3 linked regions of the Oryzias latipes genome follow. The protein of the gene in region 3 interacts with the protein of the main gene of each other region in a pairwise test. Links are inferred from orthologs where the notes say so. Each region holds a gene or a part of one and is shown on either strand. Other genes may lie near its edges. The genes, in order: aplf, aptx and DNA repair protein XRCC4-like.

Region 1 (5,624 bases), on a different chromosome or scaffold from region 3:
CTGCCGGACGCACGAGCTGGAGATGCGCGGATGCTGAGGGGGGGTGGGGGTGGGGGGTGGGGGTTGCAGACGGCGTCAGCGCGCTTCCGCTCGACGCCTTCACAATAAAAGCCGGTTTTTGTAATAACTAATAACTTGCTGAAAACGAGCCTTCATCCGTTCTGACCCGAACTAAACCTTCAGTCCGGTTCGACCCCCCCACCCCCACCCCCACAGGGCCTACACCTACACAACTGTTCCAGAGAAAACTTTTATTTTGTAATAAAATTGGTGTTTTCTGTCATACTCAGGTCTGGATCATTTACAGTCTCATTCCAAGTTCTTGTGGGGGTGGAGGGTTGGGGTTGGGGTGGGGGGGTCATCTGTCCAGCTCAGCCTGAAGGATCTCCCCCCACGTCTCTGCGTCCAGCGGCGTCATCCTCCTGCCACGCAGCTCCGCCACAGAGCGCACGTGACTGTAGCGCCCCGTCAGCCAGTCGGCCTTCAGGCGGCTGCGGGCGTAGTTCCTGACCACGGTGACCTGCAGGGGGGCGGAGCCACACGTGAACCGGGAGAACGCACTGACCACTACACCACCGTGCCACCCTCCACCCTTATCCAGAAGCAAAGAGGGAGACGGACAGCTCAATGGCATGAGGAGGTGCGATGAGGAGGAGGTCAATGACCTTCATCATCAAGGAGGTCAGGGACCTTCACTTACATGAGGGTCATGTGATGAGGGAGGGGCCTCAGAGGGAGGCATCAGAACTCCCCCGCCCCCCCTATAACCTGGCCATATTGGGGGAGGGGGGAGACCAGGCTCACCTTCCAGGAATGGCCGTGGCTCCTGTCGCGGTCCACCTCCCTCTGGCAGACGGCGCGCACCACCAGGCCCTGCCCCCTCCACAGCTGCTCGCTCTGCTGGATGACGGCGTGCCACAGCCGGCAGGTCTGCGAGGCGCGGCACAGGCTGTCAGCGTCCAGCTGGCTGAAGATCCGCACGCTCATCTCCAGAGGAAGCGCCTCCACAAAGTTCAGAGGGGGGCGTTCGGGGGGGGCTGCCATCAGGGTGGGGCTTCCTTCCATCGGGTGTGGGGGCGGAGTCTCTGCAGGTTCATCCTGCATCATAAGGGGGGAGGGGGAGGGGGCGACTGAAAGATGAAAGACATTTATGGGGGTGTCAATCAGATTTTAGCACGTGGATCGTGTAGTCTCAGACCCACCTGGTCTGCTCCTCAGGGGTCCACAGCAGTCCGGGATCCGGATCGGCCTTCAGAACCTTTTCATGTGGCCTCACTTCCGGTCACGTTTCAAAAACGTCACAGGTGCTGAAGACAGAAGTCCTACCTGCTCTCTGTTTGGCACCTGAGCCTCGGACGTGGGGGCGGGAGGCGCACGTGACCGAAGCCTCAGAACCGGATCAGGGCTCAAGCGGGACCCCCCACCGGGACCCCACCCCCACCTCCGTCTAAACGAGTGTTTTGGGGGAGAGCAGCTAGCAGACAAACGCCGCCGGTTCCGGTCTGAACTCCGAGCAGAAACGGAATCGGGTTCTTTCCCGAGACGCTGAACCACAGGGACGCAGTAATCAAGCGCGGACAGGACACGGGGTTTGATCCCGACAGCTGACTGTTTAAATGTCCCAACGGTTGTTTGTACACAGACGTGACGTCATCGTGAATTTAAACCACGCGCATGCGTAGAAAGGCCTCACTGTCAAAAAACCAAACTCCGTTGTTTTTAAACTTTTGTAATCTAATGTGAAATTTAAAGAGAAAATATTCTTACTTAAAATCCAAACAATTTATCTTTTTTTGAACGTTTTTTTCTGCGCAGGTCAGTTTACTGATCAACACTTTAACTTCAGGCTGACATGAACATGTTAAGTTTTTGTTTATTTCAATTTTTAATTACTCAAATTGGATCTTTCGTAAAAATCGATGGAAATTTTAACTTTTTTGCTGACACCTTAAAGACACCACTGCGCATGCTCCACTGGAAACCGGAAGTCTGGATTCAAAAGTAGCGGAAGTTGTTCCCGAATTCACCTGCGGCTCTCAGACCCGGATTTCATAGTCCAGATCCGCAGAGACCCGGGTCAATTGGACCCAACGCATTTTCCGAACCGCGTGTGTTGATAAACTCTTCCCGCCAGCCGGACCCCCCCGCCTCCGGAGCTCATGTCCGGCTTCCTCCTGGTCCCGGTGGATGGCGGGAATCCGGTCCCCGTTCCGCCAGGGGAGACGCTGCTGGGCCGGGGTCCCCTGCTCACAGTGAGTCCCGCAGAGTGTCGGGTCAGACAGAGGCGGGGCACGGTCACGTGACTCCGCTGCCACAGCTGGCAGGTGATCACCTGACCTCTGACGCAGAACTGGAGCTGGTACCCCCCTCAGGACAAGTTCCTGAGGGGACGTGGTGTGAGGGACGCTGATCCTCAGCTCCATCGCCTCACAAGTGACTGAGTGTTTCTGTCTCCACCCCAGATCAGCGACAAGAGGGTGTCGAGACGCCACGGGCTGCTGCAGAACCTGGACGGAGAGCTGCGCCTCAAACCGGTACCGACCCCCCCCAGACACACACTCTCCTAGAGTTCTGAACACGGCGAGGTTCAGGAGGACGCCGCCGTCACGTTTTCGGTTCTGCTAGAGTTTGCATGTAGAAAATCCAGACGGTTCTGGTTCCACAGCGACCCGATCGGGTCTTTCAGTTCAGGGTTTGATGATGTCACATCCGGCCAAGATGGAGGAAACCACTGACGTTACATGAACAACGCAACCCGTCACACGGTTTGACCAAAACAGAACCGGATCTGTTTGAGTCCGGTTCAGCTTTACTGAAACGGTTCTGAAGAAGATCCAGGTGGAACTTCAGGCAATCAGAACCATGTGGATCCATCCAGGATGACCTCTGACCTTCTCTGTTCTGTCTCTGCACCTCCTCAGAGGAGGAGCCGTGCCGTCTGCAGATGGTCCTCCTGGTGTCTTCGGGCCTCCCCAGATCCCAAACTGATGCGCTCATGTCCCTCCCCAGACCCACGCCAACCCGTGCTTCATCCAGGCCTCCCTGTCCTCGGAGCCCCGCCCCCTGCCCCAAGGATCCTGGTACACGCTGCGCGATGGCGAGCTGCTCTCTCTGCTGCCGGGGCGGCTGGTCTTCAGGGTGGAGGCCGTGGGCTCCAGGTATTCCAGGAGGGTGTGGGCGGCGCCGCTTTTGTTTGAAGCTGGGATCAAACAGACGGAGGAAGACCCTCCAGCTGATGAAGAGCTGCTCCTGCAGGAGCTGCCTCACGTCTCTGTGTCCTGCAGGAGCATCCGGAGCGCTGAGGAGGAGGAGCAGCTTCCCGCCTCAGGAGAAGGTCAGGAGGGTCCAGCAGGAGAGGAGGGGGCGGAGTCAGACGGGAGATCCCGACAGGTGGGTGCCCCGCCCACACCGTTATGTCAGGCCCTGCGCTGAAGCATCAGGAAGGAAACGGTCCTCGAACCCTCGTTGTCCTTTGAAGTCCGGCCTTTGATCTTCACAGACCAACATGGAGGATCAGAGGCACGCCGCTCTGTCTGAGGTCAGGGTTCGAACCCTTCCTGCCTGGATGATGGCGGCCGCCGTGCAGACCCCAGCCCTCATGCTCAAAGGTAACTGTGGCAAACGGTGCAAAGATTCATGGGTAAAAAAGCCAAATTCAACCAGAGAACCCGAAGGAATCTCTGTATGCCAGGGGAACGCTCAGAACACGAGAGAACACCTGGACTCACCTGAGCGGAACAGCAACGTCCTGCAGAGACCATCTTTGGCTCTTCCTCAGAAATTGCTCTGATCGCTTAGAAAGAGCCGGATCCAGTTCTGATCTGACTGACCGGTTCTGTCTGGTTGTGGTTCTGCTCTGTAGAAGCATGTTGTTGGTCTGATGGGGTTTTGTGTGTGTTTAGTTCAGTCAACTCTTCAGAGGAGGAAACGACCTGCTGGCGGTGTTCAGGCCACGCCCACATCGAAAGAGGAAGAGGAGCAGAGAAAGAGGAAGATGAATGCTGAGGAGGAGAAGGCACCTGAAACGGTTGAGTAAAGCGGTGATGAAGATGCTGAAGCTAAAACCTGCTGAGCTTCTCTGTCTGGAGGTTCCTCCTGGACGGTTCTGAGGAACCCGCCATGCAGACGGTTCTAAGGAACGGTTCTGAGGAACCCGCCATGCAGACGATTCTGAGGTTCTAAGGAACAGTTCTGAGGAACCCGCCATACAGACGGTTCTGTCGGTCTAAGGAACGGTTCTGAGGAACCCTCCATGCAGACGGTTCTGAGGTTCTAAGGAACGGTTCTGAGGAACCCGCCATGCAGACGATTCTGAGGTTCTAAGGAACAGTTCTGAGGAACCCGCCATACAGACGGTTCTGTCGGTCTAAGGAACGGTTCTGAGGAACCCGCCATGCAGACGGTTCTGAGGTTCTAAGGAACGGTTCTGAGGAACCCGCCATGCAGACGATTCTGAGGTTCTAAGGAACGGTTCTGAGGAACCCGCCATGCAGACGGTTCTAAGGAACGGTTCTGAGGAACCCGCCATGCAGACGATTCTGAGGTTCTAAGGAACAGTTCTGAGGAACCCGCCATACAGACGGTTCTGTCGGTCTAAAGAACGGTTCTGAGGAACCCGCCATGCAGACGGTTCTGAGGTTCTAAGGAACGGTTCTGAGGAACCCGCCATGCAGACGATTCTGAGGTTCTAAGGAACAGTTCTGAGGAACCCGCCATACAGACGGTTCTGTCGGTCTAAGGAACGGTTCTGAGGAACCCGCCATACAGACGGTTCTGAGGTTCTAAGGAACGGTTCTGAGGAACCCGCCATGCAGACGGTTCTGAGGTTCTAAGGAACGGTTCTGAGGAACCTTCCATGCAGACGGTTCTGAGGTTCTAAGGAACGGTTCTGCGGAACCCTCCATGCAGACGATTCTGAGGTTCTAAGGAACGGTTCTGAGGAACCCGCCATGCAGACGGTTCTGAGGTTCTAAGGAACAGTTCTGAGGAACCCGCCATGCAGACGGTTCTGAGGTTCTAAGGAACGGTTCTGAGGAACCTTCCATGCAGACGGTTCTGTCGGTCTAAGGAACGGTTCTGAGGAACCCTCCATGCAGACGATTCTGAGGTTCTAAGGAACGGTTCTGAGGAACCCGCCATGCAGACGATTCTGAGGTTCTAAGGAACGGTTCTGAGGAACCCGCCATGCAGACGGTTCTGAGGTTCTAAGGAACGGTTCTGAGGAACCCGCCATGCAGACGGTTCTGAGGTTCTAAGGAACGGTTCTGAGTAACCTTCCATGCAGACGGTTCTGAGGTTCTAAGGAACGGTTCTGAGGAACCCTCCATGCAGACGATTCTGAGGTTCTAAGGAACGGTTCTGAGGAACCCGCCATGCAGACGATTGTGAGGTTCTAAGGAACGGTTCTGAGGAACCCTCCATGCAGACGGTTCTGAGGTTCTAAGGAACGGTTCTGAGGAACCCGCCATGCAGACGGTTCTGAGGTTCTAAGGAACGGTTCTGAGGAACCCGCCATACAGACGGTTCTGTCGGTCTAAGGAACGGTTCTGAGGAACCCGCCATGCAGACGGTTCTGTCGGTCTAAGGAACGGTTCTGAGGAACCCGCCATGCAGACGATTCTGAG
Region 2 (5,354 bases), on a different chromosome or scaffold from region 3:
TCATCTGGTTAATCTGATGGTCCTTATCTGTTAATGACAGTTAACAAAATTGGGAACTTTAACAAACACCTAAATAAGAAAAACAAAATAAATAGCAGTTACTGCAAGAGTGAAAGGGAAAAAAAGAAGGGATGAAGCTTACAGCAGAAAAGCCAACTTTTTCTCAGAAATGATAAACAAAGGTGAATGAGGTCCAATTTTCTTACTTGTGTGTTGCCCAATTCTAAGATTGACTAAAATGTGACCAATAAGCAACCAGACGCTGAAAAAAGCAACAACAGAAAGAGTCTTAAGTCTTTACTTGCTAACAAAGCAATCTGATTATGTACTAAAATATTTAAACAACGTCAGATCTGAGCATTGCTGTTTAAAAAAACATTTTTTCAGGCATGTAAATGAGCATGATGGGAGTTTTTGGCTTAGAAATTTTCTGTTGTTTTGTGTGAGAAAACAGAGACGGTAGCTGTGTGTGTTAGGACAGATTGTTCTAATAGAAAAAAACAAATAAACAATGCTGAGACTTTTTGTTCCTCAGGTCAGTTTTACCCGAGAAGCTCTAGCAGCAAACGGGTTATTTGCTAGAGTCTGTTCATTTGGTCAATATCATAGCTGAAAGCTTCTAGGGATTTAGAAAAACACCGAAAATATAATGCAGTCCGACAGGCTCATCATGTCGACTAACATTGGTGTTCTGCTTACTACTGTTCCATTATCTGTGGATAAAGTTAGATTTCTCTGCGTAGAGGGGCACAATGATTCGGCCTTTGTAGCTAATTTAGCTACTCATGTCGTAGCTATGTATGTCATCAACATGGTGGCTTTTTTGCCAATTTTTTTAGCCAACAAATCACGTGTGGGCTGTTGTTAATAACATGTTTCGAGAATTAGTGGTTTTCCAACCTTAAACGAAGACCACGCTTAGCACCCTCACAAGACTGCAGCTCACAACGGCTCTTCCAGAATCTTCCTGCAGCCCTCTTTCTGCCGACTGCTGGTGTGGTGTCGAGTTTTGTCTGCGCGCAGCGCAGACATCTACGTCCACCTCGCGGGAACGCGCGTCGACAGCTAAACCCGACTGTTGGTACTTGTGACCGCACCATGTCGAGTTATGTTCTTTCTCCCAAAAGATATCAATATTAACATGACTGAAACCCACAAATTTAAACCTAAATGAAAAAAAGAACGAATCTAACTTCAGCACAATCACGTTTCAGAAAGTCAGTCATAATAAAAGTTTTAGATACAAAAAAGTGATATTTTAAATATTATTTAAAAAGAGCCAAGCCTTGTTGAATTTTCTGAAACTGCTATGATTTAATGTCCATTCATTGACAAACCAACCAACCAAGAAGAAGAAAAAAGACCAAAAAATTAAAAAGCAACAACTAAAAAATAAAAAAAAATAAAAAGTTGTTTTACAAGATATCATTTTTATACAAGAAAACACGTTTTTATGTCGTTCACAATTTTGCTGTTGTTGCGCGCTCTCGCAAAGTGAAGAACTCTGGGAGGAGACAGAACTTCCCACCCCACCTTGTTCCTCGGTCGCACCCTCGTTCGTCATCACTCCGCGACAAGTTGAACAAACATTCAAACGTGTCCCGCTGCTAAATATTAGGGAGAAAAGCGTAACGAAATGAGAAAATGCCCATTTGCTGGCTCATTAGTGAAGAGGGGAATCACAAACCCATTCACCTGCCTCATTTACAGACAGTTGTCGTGGGTCGAGGCCCAGAAACTACTATCAAAGACAAAAAATGCTCCCGGCATCAAGGTAACGATGTTACCTACAAAAACAGTCTCTAGATTTCCTGTGAGTTCAGTAAGAATGTTAGGAAAATAATCTGTTATTGTTTTAGTGATTTCAGGGATAATACATTTAAGAAAACAGCAGGAATTGAATGACTTGAGCATCAAGTTATTTTCATTCATGTTTGTAAAACGAAATGCAAAGTTTTAACCTGTCTAAATGTTCCTGACTTTCCCATCAGTTGAACTGAAAGCTGAATGCAACAAAGGTTATGTCAAAGTGAAGCAGGTAACATGCTCACAAGAATGATCAGTGGTATAAACAAAATAAAAAGCCTTATTGCTGTACATTTTGTATTATTTTTATTGTTCTATTTTTTTTACCTGTTTTTTTTCTCCCCTCCCTAAGCTGGGGTTAAACCCCACCTCTGTCGGCTCCTTGGTGGTGGGTAAAGGCAATGAGGTCAAAATGAAGCCTGGAGAGCAGCTGCTCGTGGTCAACAGCCTTTATCCATACACCGTGCAGTTCAAAGAGGACACCACCGGGAGCCAGGGCGCCACCAAAAGACCACCAGAGCCAGTCAAAGAGAATGGAGGAAGCCAAAGAGAGACAGACTGCCTGAAAGCTGGACAACTCACAGAAAAAGTCGCTGCAGCTGTCATTCCAGGAGAAGCCACAAAAACTAGTGTGAGGAGAAACAAAGAAATCTACAATCTGTGATTTATGCCTAATATACAAATTATTGTTGCAGACCTGGAGAGTTTTTATTTAAATATTCATTCTCATAATTCATGTTAACTGACATTTTGTAGGGAATTTCTGGGCATTGGAGTCAAGGCTTGAAAACTTCAATGCAAGACCCCAAAATGCAGGTAGCTATAACTCAACATTACTTACTGATAAACGTACGTCTAAATTGAAACTAAATTTAGGTTTTGTTTCTGTTTTAATTGATCTTTTTTTTTTTTTTTTAGATATACAAGGACGATACAGTTGTAGTGATCAAAGACAAGTATCCCAAAGCTCGTTACCACTGGCTGGTTCTTCCATGGCAGTCGATTCCCAGCCTGAAGGCTTTGAAGGCAGAACACTGCGATCTGCTGAAACACATGCAGAAGGTGGCTGAGCGCATGATTAAGCAATGTCCAGAATCCAGCTCACTTAGCTTCCGGACTGGTTATCACGCCATCCCAAGCATGAGGTAAGTCTTTATTATGTGTGTTTATTGGGCTGTTACTCCTTAAAGTACACCATCCATCCATTTTCTTAACCCGCTGTATCCCTTTCGGGGTTGCTGGAGCCTGTCCCAGCTACTGCTGAGGAAAAGCGGTTAACACCCTGTACAGGTTGCCAGTCTTTTGCAGGGCCACACAAACACATGCACACCTCGGGGCAATTTAGAGTCACCTAGTAAACCTATGATGCATGCTTTTGGAGGAAGGCCAGAGTGCCCTGGAGAAAACCCATCGGGAGAACGTTCAAACTCAGCAGAGAAAGGGCCCTGCTGGGAATCAAACCAGGGCCTTCTCAGTGTGGGGCGAGAGCGCTAACCACTACCCCACCGTCCAGCCTCAAATTTCCCCATACTGTTGAAAATTAATAAAGAATAATGAAGAGATGCAACAATTCACTTTCTGGTTTTTCAGGTCACAGTGTTGTTTCACTTTGATACATGTGTATAACAAAATAATAATAAAAAAAAAATTGGTTTTTATTTATTTATTATTATCTAGAAAGCAAGTAACAGTAAACAAAGCCCTTTAGTTTGCTTATAATGACCCTGGTGTAATGTGATAAAACTATATTAAATTTAGCACAATGCTCGTATTTGTTACTTTCAACATAAACATATGCAAACATATGCAGTAGGGATGCAACGATTCCCCTGAGAGCTTGTGCTGAAGCATCACTACCTGGATAAATAAAGGTATTACTGCTTTAAATGTGCTCATTGTGGGTTTGTTTTCAGAGCACAATAAATCATCAGAGTAGTGTTACACGAGGACATCTCGGCTGAATTTGACATTTTCCCACTAATGAACCGTTCTGTTTACACTCTTCAGTCACATCCACCTCCACGTGATCAGTCAAGACTTTGACTCTCCTTGTTTGAAGAACAAGAAGCATTGGAATTCCTTTACCACAGATTACTTCATAGATTCTGAAAGTAAGAGCAGACTTTATGTTATTGATTGATTTAGATGTGCTGTGTGTAAAATCAAGCGTTTTCTTTTTTTAGATGTCATTCAGATGCTTGAAAAGGATGGGAGCGTCTCTGTGAAGGATGGGACTAGTGAGCTGTTGAAATTGCCTCTCCAATGTCACGTGTGTCACAAAGAGTGTCCCACCATTCCTGCCCTGAAAGAGCACCTGAAGCACCACCTCTCTAAATAACCGTGGGACTTTTTTATTCTGGGCTGTTTTGCTCTAAGTTAGCTCATTTTCTAGAAAATTCAGAGCGGGAACATTATTTTTTCAGGGTTTCTGTCTGTTGGAGTTTGAAGTCAAAATACCCAGATATTCTTCAGAAATACTTGTTATCCATCACATGTCACAACATTCTTTAGAGTTGCCTAATAAAAAAACTCTACATGTTGCAATAATTGTTATCTAAATACGTAGTTCTCCTTTTTCCAAATTTAGCTTTTAAGCATTTTGACTTTATTGTTTGGTTAGTGTTGACTGTGAAGCATTTTTTATGGTTTTGTGTGAACAAACAACCGTTTTGAGTTTGAAAGACTTAAGTGATTTTCAGCAAATAATATATATTAGTGAATAAACTGTACTGAACCAAAAGACGTGTCAATGGAATAACTCTGTCACCATCTAGTGTTCAATCAGAAGAATTAAGTTATAAGGGTAAGAGAAGGTTTAAACCGTATGTATTTTGGTAACCCTTCAGTGGCGCCTCCAGAAATTTTTCATGGGGGTGGCCAGTGGGGGGCCACATTAAATCTTGGGGTGGCACACAAAAACCATGAGCTATATTTTTAAAATTCATTCTACCAAACGTAGTAAAACAACCTTTAGAAAACCAATAGAAAGATAAATGCCTACTGATATTTTGTAGAACATGAATTTATAGTAGATACTACTAGTATAATAACTAATAGATACTAGTAGATACCATTAGTAGATACTACTACTGATATATATATATATATTTTTTGTTTATATTCAATGCTTAGGTGTGTCTGCTTGGGCTGTTCGGCTCTTGACTGAGAGATATCTACAATAAACAAAAAATGAAATCTGTTGTTCTGAAATAATAATAAAAATATCCTTCTAATTATTAATTATATCTGTAGACATTTCTATTCAGACTTATAATCATGAAACATTTTTATTATTAGGGTAACATAATTCTAACTTCACCAGTTGGTCCAGGAACAGGTGGAGCCCCTGCTTATGCTGAGTTCTGCCTTGTTTCTCTGACCAATGATGCTGACTGTCCCTCCTCTGATGCCGTCTCATCTTTGTCTTCCTTATTCTCTTCTGTCATTCATGCTGCTCTGTCTCATCTTCCTCCTCCTCACTACTCCTCTGTTGCTCCCCTACCATCTCTTTCACTCCTTCTGCTGCACTTTTATTCTTAAAATAAGAA
Region 3 (5,672 bases):
CACCAGACACCCCCCTGACACCCACCTGACACCCACCTGACACACACCTGACACACACCTGACACCCACCTGACACCCACCTGACACACACCTGACACGGACCTGACACGCACATGACACGCACATGTCACCCACCTGACACACACCTGACACATACCTGACACCCACCTGACACACACCTGACACATACCTGACACACACCTGACACACACCTGACACACACCTGACGCACACCTGACGCACACCTGACGCACACATGACTCACACATGACAAACACCGGATTCAGCTCATCATCAGACTCTCAGGCACCTGATGATGAAGGGCAGGTGTGTTTGAGCAGGGCTGGATGGAAACAAGGAAACTTTGTCACGAGTCATGTTCATGATCCTTCCTTGGTCTTCCAAACATGACGTCAGCACTTTAAGGAAATGTTGAATAAACTCAGAAAAACTGGACCCAGTTCCTCCCAGCTGGTTCTGGAGCCACCCTGAGCGGTCAGGCTGAGCCTGCATGATGTCTGATTCAGGATGGCAGCCTGGACTGATGATGTCGGGGTTGTCATGGAAACGGCTGTTTGGAACTGAAAGTCCTGTGAGGAGGAGGGAGCCCCTTAGAACTGCAGAACCTCAAAGCTGAAACTGCTTTCAGGAGAGTCTTTGTCATCAATAGATGACAAATATTACGCAACTCTCTATCGTTTATGTATATAATATCTACATTTTTCTTGAACAGCTTTAGACCAGAGTTCCCTGTAATCCAGTTCGAACCGCTTTGGCTCCGTTCATAAATCTGGAACCCAAAACCCGATGTTCCTCTCACAGACAGATGTTGTGAAACTCCTCAGACGCTCTGAAGTTCCTCTCAGCTCCGTCCGAACATTCAACGGGAAGAATCTGGAATGTGGACCTGCTCAGGTAACACCTGGGATGCTGCCCCCCCACACAGATTAGAGGGGGGAGGGTCCCACTTAAGCCTCTCATCATGACTTGGAGCGAGCGCTGAGTTTTTCCACTCCGAGGGAAACAGACACCTCTAAACTCACTCCTGACTCTCGTTTTTGTTTTTCATCCATTCATGGCTCCCTTTCCATTCGGCCGTCGCCATGACAACAGCGTTTGAGCCAAAAACATGAGGCTTCACAGCCAAAACAATCAAACACTTTTCATGAAACAAAACCAAAAGTGTGGCGATGATTTCAGGGTTTGGGGAAATGATGGAAAATCACTGAATCACTGAATAAAAGACTTTTGTTAGATGAGAAATTAAAGGATTTAAAATTCCCCAAAAGATCTTTCTAGAACATTCAGCCACAAGAATAAATGAGAAAAGAAGTAAACAGTCTGTAAGCATCAGGTAGCAGATGTTCAGCAGAAGAAAAGAGCTGAAGAACGTTTGTGACAGGCCACGCCCATCACAAACAGCTGACCGCAGGGCGCCATGATGTTGACCGAGGAAAACCACAGGCCAGCGATTGAAACGTCACCTTTACCTGTCTGACCAACGTCTGCATGAAAAGCCCCACGTCCTGACGTTTGTGTAGAGAAAGTCTGAGGGGCCGTTCGATTGGCTGAAAGCGAACACGCCTGCTTTGTTGATGAGTTTGATTGACAGATTCATTAGCCAATGGTGACATTAGTTCAGGATTTGTCAGGATTTGTCTCACTAAGGAGGTGAGGTTTATAAATGCACATTCTGTCACTCTGTAACACAAGTGTGCCTAAAAATGATCTTTGTGAAACATTTATTGTGTTTTTGTGGAACACAGAGTGCACATTTGAGAGAAACACTTACTGTGCATGCGTGAAAGAACAGCGTGTGTGTTTGTATTCTAGCCTCACACGTCTGCGTCAGGACTCACCGAGATCTCCTTCTGCATCTTCTCGTACGTCAGCGTGACGCTGCGGCCCGGCGGTTCTGGACTCAGGCTAAAGCTGTAGGGGTCCGGTGGTTCTGCTCCGGTCAGCGCCCGCTCCAGGTCCTGGACGTACTTCTCCCTCGTCATCTCCAGCTCCTCCGCCTCGCCGCCTATGGTGGCCGCGCCCACTGCGTGGTCACAGAAACGGTCCGTTTGTCATTTCCTCATCAGAGGGGTGTGCACGTAAACGTGTGCATGTGTGAGCTCTATCCCGTCATGCCGAGGGTCATCTTTACCTTCTCCACTCCAAGCATCCTGGCCATCGGTGAGCAGCACCCTGAAGCCTGATGCTAAGCTCCGCCCCTCCCAGTCCACACGCAGGAAGTAGGAGGAGCCAGGTTTGGAGGATATGTGGATCTCCCGCACAGCCGTGTTCATCCCTGCAGATGAAACCAGAGCTGGTCATTTTTCTGAAACACCAACTCTCTGTGAGGAGGCCTCATGGCGAGGACTTCCTCCACGCCACACGGCCTGAAGAGGCTCAGCGTCTCGTTTGCATTAACCTCCACCTGCAGATCTACATTCACATCTGCTCACATTTATTATTTTGACACATGAAAACCTGGAACAAGAATCCTGAGGTCCCATCGTTTAGTCTGTCATGAATCGTCCTTTAATAAACGCTGATCACGCAATAATTATCTGAAAGAAGGATTAAAATATAAAAATAAACTAGTGCAAAAATGATGTCAAAAATGTTAAGTAATTTGGATTTTGTTTAATAAAGTTTATGAAAACTGTTTTAAAACGTCACAAACGTCCAAAATATGAGTCCAAAAAATGTATTTAAAACGTAAAGAAAAAGGTCTATTTTTAAATTAAAAAATCACTAAAACTGTGAATAGAACCAAAGCATTTACAGTAATACTATACTACTACTATCATTACTAATCATTATAATAATAAGCTTTACCTCACACTCAATTGGTCCACAAAAGGGAAAATCGTATAAGGAAGAAATTAGTAAAGAAAAAGTAAATACAAAACACCCCATATATACTATATTATATACCATATACTACATATATATTCACAGATTGGTGGCATACAGGGATTCCCTCCAAATGCACGAAAGAACTCTAACCTCAGGTCTCAGTGGATCCATCAACGACACATGAGAGCAGAGGATGTTTAAACGAGGCACTTAAACTACAGATTCATCACTTAAACTACAGATTCATCAGTACAACCTGATCTGAGCAGCTCTATTAGACGCTTACCGTGACTCTGTAGTTTGAGACAGAGGTAGCTCCTAAAAGAAGCGCGCGCTCACTTCTGCACGTTCAGAACAAGTTTGATCTTTTGTCCCAAAGCTGCTACGACTGAAAACGTACCGAAAATCCCCAAAACCGGGTTACGGTCTGCGTTTCTCTACACTAGGAGCTAGCAGGCTAACAGGCTAGCTCAACCGAGAAGTGTTTGTAAACAGACGCACGTGGACGAGAGGCAGAAGACGGGCTCGCGCGCCAGTAACAGCAAAGCCACAGCTTACCAGAGGCGAACGGCGCGCGGCTTTGGATGGAAGCGGAGTTTGACAGAAAGACAGCCAAGGTGGCTGTGACGTCATCGTTACGCGACAGAATCGATGCTACTGTTTAGTGTTTGAATGACATTTCAACGTTATACATTTCAACGTGTATATATATATATATATATATATATATATATATATATATATATATATATATATATATATATATATATATATAGTATTAATAATCACCAAAGGTTTTTAAATTATCAATGGCCCAGGTGCAACACAAAACTGGCAAAATGTAAACAAAGAAAGATGAAAAATATTAATTTAGTTTTTCAATTAATAATTAATTAATTTATTAATTCAATCTAAGAACATTTAGAACACCTCTTAAAGTAAAATTCTACTGGATAAACTATTTGAAAATTTCCAACTGACTTCACTTTAGCTTTTCAACTAAAAGCCAAATTATAAAGGTGGGTCTTGAGCCTCTTCTTGAAAACTTCAGTCTCTGTGGCCCTGAGGTTCTCCGGCAGACTGTTCCATAGGTGAGAACCGTGATGGTGGAACGGAGCCCCACCATAGGTTTTGGTCCTCACCTTAGGAACAACTAAAAAAGGCAGCACTGGAGGACCTCAGGGTCAGCGAGTGCTCCTACTTTAAAAGATCATTTAAATAAGATTAAAGACAGGATGGATCATGGTCTAAAACCAGATCATTAATGATGAAAGTCTTATTTAAAAGAAACATTTAAAAGAGTCATCTTCATCGTTGTGGGTGAAATCTGATGTGAGCCTGGTTTACTGTAAGTTTTGTGACTGTTGTGTGAATTGGGCGGAGACATCTAACATGCGAGGCGCATGGGTGTGAATGGAAATGATTCGATTATCTGTTGGTGATGCGGACTGGTTGGTATATGACGCTGTGTCCTGGTTCAACCGTCAGCAGGAAATTTGAAATTCTGCTGCATTTTTTCAAAAGAAAACCAATTTTTTTTAGGTTGAGACTATCAACTACAAAGGGAAAAGTGTCAACAATTAAGAGAAAATCCAAAAGTCACCTGCATGATCAGCAGGAAAAAGAAAGAAACTGCTGCAAAACTAAGTGCAAACAAATCCTACAAATGTGAGATCCAATGCATCCACTGGAGCTCCACCTTTCAGACACAGTAAAGGTTGAAGATCTGCTGAAGAGCAAACGTGGAGTAAAGTGGGTCAGCCTGCAGCAACGCGGTCAGAAACGCCACAGGAAGGCTTTGATGCCCACCAGAGCAGCTGGAACCCTGCAGCTGCCACTTCTCTGCGAAGATCTGGGTCACATGACCCTCAAATACTTGAGAGGTTTTGACCTGAGGTCAATCTCCTGTAAAGATCTGCTATCATTGCGCCAGCATGTGTGATCCAGGAGCTGCATCGTCAGGAAACTATGCATGAACATCTTTCCTTCCAGGTGCAGCGTCTCTCTGGGGTTCAGGCTGAAAACTCTAAAAAAAATGGAAACATGCTTCCTGGTGGCATCACCCTAGGCTTGGAGCAGAGCGCTCGGCCCTATTAGCTCCAGAAGGCTCCTTGCAGATCCACGCGGCTCCTTTGGTTTGTGATCTCCGTCATTAACTGCAGCCCACTTTCATCTCCTCTCCTGCACTCAGGGATGCCTCCTTCCGCCCTCTTCACCTCCACCAAACTGCCCAGAGCATCAGACACATGTGCATGACTGTGAGCGGGAGTCCAGCTCTTCGGGCGAGATGCTGGAGTAATGACTTCCAGGTAACAAGCGTTTCCTGGTAACTGCCGAGGGCTTCATAAAGTGGCCTTCATCCTCTGCAAGGCGGCGCCCTTTGATGGCAGAAAACACTGATCTCCTCCGACCTCCGTACTGCCTTTGACGTTTATTCTGCAGTAAACCTTCATCCTCTCAGCAGCAACTCACTTTCTAAAGCTCCGGTCCATCACGAGCAGCTCCTTCCCTAAACCTTCATGAGGTCCAGTCCACAGCAGCAGGAAGCTCTCTGCTTCGACACAGACAAACTCTTCCTCGCTCCATCGGTTTTGATCAGCAGGTCAATGAATTGAACAAAAATGGAGATTTTTAGCAGCAGACATCAGCTGGTTTATCTCTTACTATCGTTTTTACTTCCTGAAAGTTTCCTCTGGAGTTTAGGAGGCAGATTATCCTGTAATCCAGTCATCATAGTCTGACGTTCTCTAGAGAGTTCTGGAATTGGTCAGACATGTACTGGCTCTGATAAGGGCTGGGAGCATCTCATACATGGTGTAAAG

What was found.
Region 1: the proteins of DNA repair protein XRCC4-like (region 3) and aplf interact in binary tests that used the Homo sapiens proteins (3 or more experiments, as listed by UniProt). The link is inferred for Oryzias latipes from reciprocal best matches to the Homo sapiens genes XRCC4 and APLF.
Region 2: the proteins of DNA repair protein XRCC4-like (region 3) and aptx interact in binary tests that used the Homo sapiens proteins (3 or more experiments, as listed by UniProt). The link is inferred for Oryzias latipes from reciprocal best matches to the Homo sapiens genes XRCC4 and APTX.

Annotation. Positions count from the first base shown.
Region 1 is NC_019859.2:725,337-730,960, reverse strand, and holds the start of aplf (aprataxin and PNK-like factor), read left to right. Parts: upstream 1-2,133; 5' UTR 2,134-2,159; coding exon 2,160-2,252; intron 2,253-2,462; coding exon 2,463-2,534; intron 2,535-3,009; coding exon 3,010-3,158; intron 3,159-3,284; coding exon 3,285-3,390; intron 3,391-3,499; coding exon 3,500-3,608; intron 3,609-3,902; coding exon 3,903-4,027; intron 4,028-5,624. Other genes in the region: fbxo48 (F-box only protein 48), read right to left, coding at 359-520, 805-1,107. UniProt on the Homo sapiens protein: Histone chaperone involved in single-strand and double-strand DNA break repair.
Region 2 is NC_019859.2:15,249,004-15,254,357, reverse strand, and holds aptx (aprataxin), read left to right. Parts: upstream 1-1,544; 5' UTR 1,545-1,644; coding exon 1,645-1,774; intron 1,775-1,991; coding exon 1,992-2,038; intron 2,039-2,158; coding exon 2,159-2,437; intron 2,438-2,562; coding exon 2,563-2,622; intron 2,623-2,724; coding exon 2,725-2,951; intron 2,952-3,813; coding exon 3,814-3,917; intron 3,918-3,989; coding exon 3,990-4,144; 3' UTR 4,145-4,548; downstream 4,549-5,354. UniProt on the Homo sapiens protein: DNA-binding protein involved in single-strand DNA break repair, double-strand DNA break repair and base excision repair.
Region 3 is NC_019870.2:1,149,540-1,155,211, reverse strand, and holds the start of DNA repair protein XRCC4-like, read right to left. Parts: upstream 3,497-5,672; 5' UTR 3,409-3,496; exon of another isoform or gene 3,137-3,408; intron 2,297-3,136; 5' UTR 2,295-2,296; coding exon 2,153-2,294; intron 2,045-2,152; coding exon 1,860-2,044; intron 1-1,859.